Linked DNA regions of Nothobranchius furzeri. The protein of the gene in region 1 interacts with the protein of each later gene in a biochemical or structural test. Links are inferred from orthologs where the notes say so. Each region holds a gene or a part of one and is shown on either strand. Other genes may lie near its edges.

Region 1 (4,341 bases):
AAACTGTATTTATGGCTTACTTTTGTGCATTTAAACTTCAGCCGCCACTGATAGTTGTTAAAAGTTGTTAAACCTGTGCATTTGAAACAAGAAACGCTTTTTGTTTATCGATTTATTGTGAAAAACGGAAAGTGTGCTTGCTCCTTTTCCTGTTGGACGATTGTGATTTCTGTCCATTTACTGCGGAGGTGCTCCGGCGTCCGGCGAAAATAGGATCGATTCTATTTTTGCCGGACGCCAGAACAGAGGGCGGCGCACGGCGCCGCACTGCAGGAGCACAGCCGCAGTAGTGGAATTGCTCTGATTGACTACAACGGGACCGATTTTGCTGCGGCGTTCGTGTCGGAGCGGAGGTAGTGGAATTTGGGGGTAACGGTGGCACCAGAAGCAACAAGAAGAGCCACCTGAATCCCCACAGAGAAGCTCACCTGAAACTTGTGATCTTGTGCTGCGGCAGATCATCGTAGCTTTCAAACCCATCCTCGTTTGCGTCAAACAGGGACAAACGCTCATCCGTCAACATTTCAGGCTCTTCCAGCTGAAGATACAGAAAAAACCGGTCAAGACGACGACTTCTCAGTGCTTAAATTACTAAGAAAGCAAGACTGACCGCATTATCAGGATCTCCTTGGAAGAATTTCAGATCGGAGTCATCCAGGTATTGTCTGCAGTCTGGACATTTGGGGGGCGGAGTCTAAAAAAAAACAACCGGGCTTTGTATCAAAGCCTATTGACGGATCACCTTTGTCTGCGTAAACGTTTGAATGAACCACTTCACTACCTTAGCTGCTGACGCAGACCTGTTAACTTCAGGCTTTGGTTCCTCAGCAGCAGGTCTGCGTAAAAAAGGAAGAGTTGTAAAACGTAGATCCACTTCAGGACCATCGAAACTCAAGAGATGACCTACTTTTCATCCGACTCCACTTTCAGGCGTTTCTCCTCCCGAGACTGCAACAGGCGATCAAATGTAAAACGTTATCTCCGGGACTAAACCTACACCGATATTAGCACACGAGGAGGAAATGTCACCTCATCAACGGCCTCTTCTTTTTTAGGTTCACTTGTTTCATTGACAGGTTCTCCGTTCACCTCATCAGACTTGCGCTTTTGGCTGCAAAACAGAGCTGGTCTTAATTTTATTCCTGCTTATTTGTTAAAACTGCAAACAGCATAAAACTCATACGTACACTTTAGAAAACATGGACAAGATGGTTGGCTGCTTCACACTGTTCCTCGTGACTCTGCTGCTGGCTGGTGATTCTACAAATGCAAAAGGACTCGCCATGAGCTACAGATGCTGCGCCTTTAAAAACGAGACTCGGGATGAACACTAAACGAGTCGCAGACTGACTTTTTGTGTCTGCGCTCCCCTTGCTCCTGCGGCCCCCCTTCCCTTTGGAGGTGGTTGGTGACTTGACAGATGATGACGTGTCTTCTTCCTGGGTATCCATGGAAACATCACCATCTCCATCCTCTTCGTCTTTATGGGAGCCATTAGAGAGGCCATTTCTCTTTTCGTTACGCTCCACGCCATCAACATGTGAGCCATTCTCAAGATGAAGTTCTTTGCCCAGCAAGGCTTTCACCTTTGAGATGTAAACCTCCTGAGGAAAGTACAACAGATACACAACATGTCATAAATGGATTTATTGGAAATAACATGAACATTAATAATCTGTGTCTTTTGGAAGTTACCCACCTTTGAGATCTCTGATTTTTTTATTTTTTCTTCAAGACTGGTCAGTTGGTCCTGAGCATCATCATGCAGAAAGTCCTGCACCAACTTGATCTTCTTCTTCACTTGTTCCTGAAACGAATATTTCCAACATAAAACTTACAGCCAATGTATTTAACTATAAAATTATAAGTTACAATTTTTTGAAACTATCTGCATTCATGACATTAAAAATTAACCATTTAGGACATGTCGGTGAATTAAAATGTGAGACAGTAACTTTCTTAATCTTCTTTGTCAATGGCAAAATTTCCTAGGGATTCGTTTTTGTCATATTTGAAATGAGAATTTTATGCGTGCCAAATGACATTTTGGGGAGTGATGAACATTTTTGGAAGCTCTGCTATTTATATTTGCTATCAAACACATTTCATATCTCACAACTAAAATAAAACCAACGAGAGATGCATTCTTTAAGAGCCACTATATAAAGTGTAGTTATTGATCTTTACACATACAAAGCAACTTTCATTTCCCGTAATTATTGATCGGGTTTTCTAGTAGTGAGGGTGCACACTTCACTCGCCTCTTCTGAGCATCCATCCTCATCCAGCAGCTCCAACCTACAAACACATCAAAACAACAGCGGCTTACGGAGAGTCACGTTGTCTGGAAACTGTAGCAGAACGTTCAGCACAGCAACCAGAGTTAGGAAACAAAACTTCCTACGTGGCGCCAAAAACTCCCTCGCTGCTCATCCATTTCCAGGCTAATGATGCTAGTAGCAGGTTACTGACGATGGACTATTAACCAGACTGATAAGAGGCAGCAAGCTAACGCTAGCTGAAGCGGCTAATGCAAACAAAGTTGTGGGGATGCTCACTACGAGCATGAGAAACAACGAGTAGCATTTAAGACATACGCTCTGAACGCCGTTGTTGTGACTTACTAACTGGCTGCATTATGACTGTATTAGCACCGAGGTTACCAACCTTTTCCTGACATCGTCTGGCAGAGACAGGGACGTTCTGGATGGCATGTTGACCAGCTAACTAAAAGCAGAAGCAGATGACACGGGCAATAAAAACTGATATAAAACAACGCGTTAGGCCGCCGTCAATCGCCGCAGCAATACTCAGAGATGACTACCAGTCGAGTGGCGCTTCTTCAAGCGGATGCTACAAGCAGTTCGAGCGCGCGCAGGCCGTCTTTTCGCGCGGAAACCCGGGTGTTGTGGACTGTACCACTACGGCAGTCTATAGGTAAAGCAGTTTCCGTTCTGCGTTTGTAATTTCTTCTTTGCATTCATGGTTTTACACAAAAACACATTTTATAACAATAAAACGATTTTTAAGCATGTTTAGGGCATTAGTTTGATATTATTCAAAATGTTTACGTTTTTTGGTTCTTGATAAATCAACCGGATCTTCCCCTATTGTTTCACACATGTTAGAGTCCATTGACCAGGCGGAAGTGTTTAATAATGAGCAAAAACAGCAAGACATATTATTGCCGCTGAGTTTAAGCTGCAGGAGGCATGACACCGTTTTGATGTAACTAGCTGTATCCGACATCTGTTTGAAACCAATAAGCCTCTAACTGTAATTTATATATTAGATTGTTACTAGGATAGCTGTCAAACATGTATGTGTCCAGGGCGTGTCATGTGATATCATAGGATGTCAAAGAAGATGGCTCCTTTCTCGCCTCTGATTAGCAAGAAGGGCTCTACTACGATTGGCTATTTCCATCGACATATAAATATTGGACATTGGGTTTCCATATGCTCCAATAACACGTTTTTGAAGATAAATGGGAGGTGGCCACCACCACCATTTTGACTGTGTCACAGGTTCCGTCAAGCCCAGACAATTCCACAAAAGGGAAGAGAGGTGGCGCTGAGGGTGGGGCTGTAAGGCTGGGATCTACTGACGACACCCGGTCTAACTAGCTACAAGTTAACCCAAAGCTAACGCGGAGGTGGGAGCTAAGCTAACAGAGGTAGCAACCTAGCTACAACCGGAGTTAACTGTGCACAACACCAGAGCTTCTGAGTCAGAGATACGCCGGGCTGACCGCTGGGTAAAACCGGGTGGAACACAGAGGTCTCCCGAGAGCTCCACAAGCCGGCAGCCGCACAGCAGACAAGCGCTGCTGCGATCTGAGATGCACAGAGCTGCCACTGGGGAGAACCGGGTGGAAAGGTTTCCATCCCAGAGCTCCACAAGCCGGCAGCCCGCATAGCAGTCAGGAGCCGCGATCAGACAGAGATGCGCCGAGCTGCGGGGAGGGGAGAACCGGGTGGAAAACAGGTCTCCCGAGAGCTCCACAAGCCGATAGTCGGAACCCAGCTCCACCAACATGTTATATTTCAACCCATTTTCTAAAGTCCAGCATTATGTTAAATGCACTGGGGTTTACCCTATTACATTTAAATTTCATGGTTAAACAGTACATGTTAAAATCTAAGCTCAGCTCGGCAGTGACCTAAAATACATGAATATAATTTTACTTACCGAAAAAAATGAAGTGGAGACTCCTTGGATGCTCTATTAGTGCAATTAATGCCACAGCAAGTCATTTTGTCCAACAATTGCACAAAAAATATCCGAAAAAAAATACACAAACACAGAGACTCAAAATCCCGGAGCAGTTTCCAAGCCAGA
Region 2 (3,650 bases), on another chromosome or scaffold:
GCCTGGAGCTCCCTAGTTGGGATGCTGCCCCCGCGACCCGGACCCGGATAAGCGGAGGAAGACGAGACGAGAGACGATGTTAAATAATAGTTAACATCACTTAAATGCAACAGCAGATTCTCTCATTGCTACTGAACATTTTCTCCACTTATGTGGTTATGATATAAGGCTGTTGCTGTAATTGGGAAGTGAACTGTGCTGGGCCAAACTAGGAGAATATTAAGATTTTCTGAGGGAAAGAGAAAAACAATTGTCTACCATTCAGAAGAGGAACTGGCAAAAAACTACATGGAAAATATGTGAAAACGTTTGTTTTTAACCCCAAATTGAACAAGTTTACCAAGATCTTAAAAAGCAGCTCAGATGATGAAACTGCAGCTATGATTCTGATAACAAGCTAACAAATTGAACTAGCTCCTCTTAAGATAACCGGCTAGCAGAGCTTCTGACTGACAGTTTATGTGCAGCAGCAAATCAACTATCCTGATTAACAAGGTTATAAAAGCTCATAAATGAAAAATCACTTTGATGTGTGGGGGAACTTTTCCAGGCCCTCTTTAGCAGGGTGGGACTGGAAGGAGAGTGCTGTAGCCTTTTAGCTGGAAGCTAACCGGAGCCTGGGGCTAACATCACCACCCGGTGGAACACTAGCAACATTAAGGTGGGTTAGTTCACCGGCACGTGTCGGAGTCAACCCGGTAAAAATGATTAACGACACCGAGCGGACTCACGTTCACGTCTGAAAGCAGCGCTGATTCCAGAAACCTCAGCACAAAGTGTGTTCGTTAATCTGGGCCAGCATGACGAACAAGGGAACGGCGCCGCTAATGTTCGGGTATTGCTTTCCATCCTAAGGGTCCACATAGGGGGCTGGCGTATTTCGTGAACGGACCCATCTGATTGGCCGCATATCAGAAGGGCTACGTTTGATTGGCCAAATAATACTTCCGCATAAAAACAGAGCTGGTTTACAAAAAGTTAATGTATGACACGGATGGAAATGTTTGAACCAAACATTTATCGCCGTTTTTGGCGTGCCTTGCGATGGGCCTATCGCACGTCTTGTTATGCCGATGACGATAATTTTTCGATATATTGTGCAGCCCTACTTTTGACCCTTTGCACGTGACGTCACGCCACTCATGTGACCGCCCCCTTCGCCATGATGGACGGCAAAAAGACCGTTTATACCAGTAGAAACTCCAGTGAAAGTAGTCAAAACAAGCCAGTTTGTAGCCTTTTATATCTTTTATTTAGTTGATTTGACATTAAAACAGTTTTAGCTTGCTGCGTGGTCGGCTGCACTAACAGACAAGGATGTAAACTCAACTCGTTTTGTTTTTTTAATAACTTTGATGGAGACTGAGGACGGAGATGAACTGCAGTGATCAATCAAGCGGACTAGCAGGCCTCAGATTAGCAGCGAACATGTTTTTACCGGGTAAGATTAACGTTCATTTATTTCACAAGGAAGACAGGGACAGGGATAAATGTGATGTGTTTATACTAGTTATTGATAATCCTGATGGACGGGTATTTCACCACGGAGGCTGCGCTCCGTCCACTGTAGTGTAAAGCGAGACAATTATTAACAATATTAAAGCTCTGATGTAAGATCACGTGTGTTAAAATTACGTTATTTATTTATATGAGCGTCAGCATTAAGAGATCTTCTCATTCCGGTGTGAGAGCAGCAGCTGAAGCCGGTAACACCACCAGCAACAGAAGCTGGTAGGGATCCAGACTTTCTAACAATCAGCTTTGGTGTAAAGTGAAACGCTGTTTGTAACATAAAGTTATAAATCCAGAGGGGTGAATTTAGGCAAAGTCAGCAACATGTTTACATCGGTGAACAGCTGCAGAGAGAACGTAAGCTAACGCTGGTAAGTTAGTTAGCATACCGCTCTCTATGAGCCCCCGCTAGATGCGCTACTTCTTCTGATAACTGAACTGGGCATGAACTAGTGGAAGGAATGCTGGAGGAGTTTTGTTTTGGTTTTGATCGCAAAAACAATTTCAGGCTCTACTTTTCCCTTTGTTTAGTAATCGTGTCGCTCACTGTTTACATGCTTTTGCCGTCCACCGTGGTGGACCCACGTGATTAGGTGACGTCGGTGCAAAGGGTCAATAGGTGGTTTTCTGTGTGGCTGTATGTGTTTATGATTTCATGGAAAAGTCAGCGATTGTTCACATGTTTATGATGTATATTAATGATTGTTGTAGGTGTTGTTGGGGTTTTGTGCACGCATGTGTATCTGCTAGTGTTGAAGGTGTTTTAGAGAACAATAGGTACGCATGACCACTTCCTTCATAGCACCCTCAATAAAAAGACTAGCTCCTTCATAGCACCTGCAGAAAAACATTTCTGGAGCCGCCACTGCTCTGTAGCCGCTCTGTCAGCGCACGCATTGGGCTCGGCTCCACCCACACCCCACCCACACCCCTGGTGGCACTCGCTGCTACCGCCATAACACTTTCAAAACTTGGATGTGTAAAATAAATGACACAACAGATTCTGGGTCAGTCAGGAGCACTGCGACAAAACAGCAGCTTGAACGTGATTGCGTTGTATGAAATGATCATTGGAGATTTCAAACTGGTAAAAGTGTGGATGTGTGATGGCCTGGGGCCTATCTGGGTGTAGTCCAGTACCTTGTTTAACATCTTCAATTCAAACCACTGTAATCGTGTGTGTGTGTGTGTGTGTGTGTGTGTGTGTGTGTGTGTGTGTGTGTGTGTGTGTGTGTGTGTGTGTGTGTGTGTGTGTGTGTGTGTGTGTGTGTGTGTGTGTGTGTGTGTGTGTGTGTGTGTGTGTGTGTGTGTGTGTGTGTGTGTGTGTGTGTGTAGGCCCACTAGATGAAGATGGTCAGCCCCATGGTTTCTGCACTGTTACCTTCTCATCCGGTGATCATTTTGAAGGACACTTCACTCATGGAGAGAAGAATGGAAAGGGCAAGTTCTTCTTCTTTGATGGAAGGTAATGTTTAATGACTTTGATTTATAAAGTAGAACTTGACGAGATAATGCAAGCAACCGTAACTCATTTGCTGCCAACCATTTCCTGATCGGTAAAGCCTTTTTTAAGAGTCACAGAACATTGCGTACTAGGATGATGTCGATGACAAAACACCCAAAACAAAGCGTAGACTCACCTCTTACATCAGGAAGAATCCGTTTTGAGCGTTATCCGTTCTTTCATAATCCGTTGTTGAATAGTGATCGGCAGAAGCTTTTCCGGTTTGCGCCTCACTTTTTTTTTTACAGCAGTGGCTCAAAACAATCTCCTAACACATGGATTTTCTGCTTCCTGATCATGTGACATGTGATGTACGCAGACGAAGATCTGCTTTAGAGCTGGGATGTTTGTTCTCACGGTGCGGGGCCTCGTTCCAACGCCCACACAGTAAAAAAATGCAAATGACGACTTTTGTTGTCAATGGCAGTGAATGAGTTAAACAAACCCCGGCGTTAGCACCTTTTGGAGACAGAGAAACTGGCGCAGCCAGTCAGATGGTAAAGTGGTGATTATCTTTTTAGGCCACATTTACAGACGTAGAAATGAGTGCAAGTCAGTTTTGTTGTACACCTGTGCAATGACAATAAAGTGATCAATTGCACACACACACACACACACACACACACACACACAC

The links.
Region 2: of the proteins of dnmt1 (region 1) and setd7, one has a biochemical effect on the other in vitro, tested with the Homo sapiens proteins (2 studies listed by BioGRID and IntAct, with this or other methods). The link is inferred for Nothobranchius furzeri from reciprocal best matches to the Homo sapiens genes DNMT1 and SETD7.

The regions. Positions count from the first base shown.
Region 1 is NC_091745.1:3,328,697-3,333,037, forward strand, and holds the start of dnmt1 (DNA (cytosine-5)-methyltransferase 1), read right to left. Parts: upstream 2,893-4,341; 5' UTR 2,715-2,892; coding exon 2,668-2,714; intron 2,299-2,667; coding exon 2,262-2,298; intron 1,808-2,261; coding exon 1,700-1,807; intron 1,605-1,699; coding exon 1,352-1,604; intron 1,261-1,351; coding exon 1,188-1,260; intron 1,112-1,187; coding exon 1,030-1,111; intron 949-1,029; coding exon 908-948; intron 837-907; coding exon 782-836; intron 695-781; coding exon 611-694; intron 539-610; coding exon 429-538; intron 1-428. UniProt on the Homo sapiens protein: Methylates CpG residues. Preferentially methylates hemimethylated DNA. Associates with DNA replication sites in S phase maintaining the methylation pattern in the newly synthesized strand, that is essential for epigenetic inheritance.
Region 2 is NC_091741.1:109,529,546-109,533,195, reverse strand, and holds part of setd7 (histone-lysine N-methyltransferase SETD7), read left to right. Parts: intron 1-2,847; coding exon 2,848-2,977; intron 2,978-3,650. UniProt on the Homo sapiens protein: Histone methyltransferase that specifically monomethylates 'Lys-4' of histone H3. H3 'Lys-4' methylation represents a specific tag for epigenetic transcriptional activation.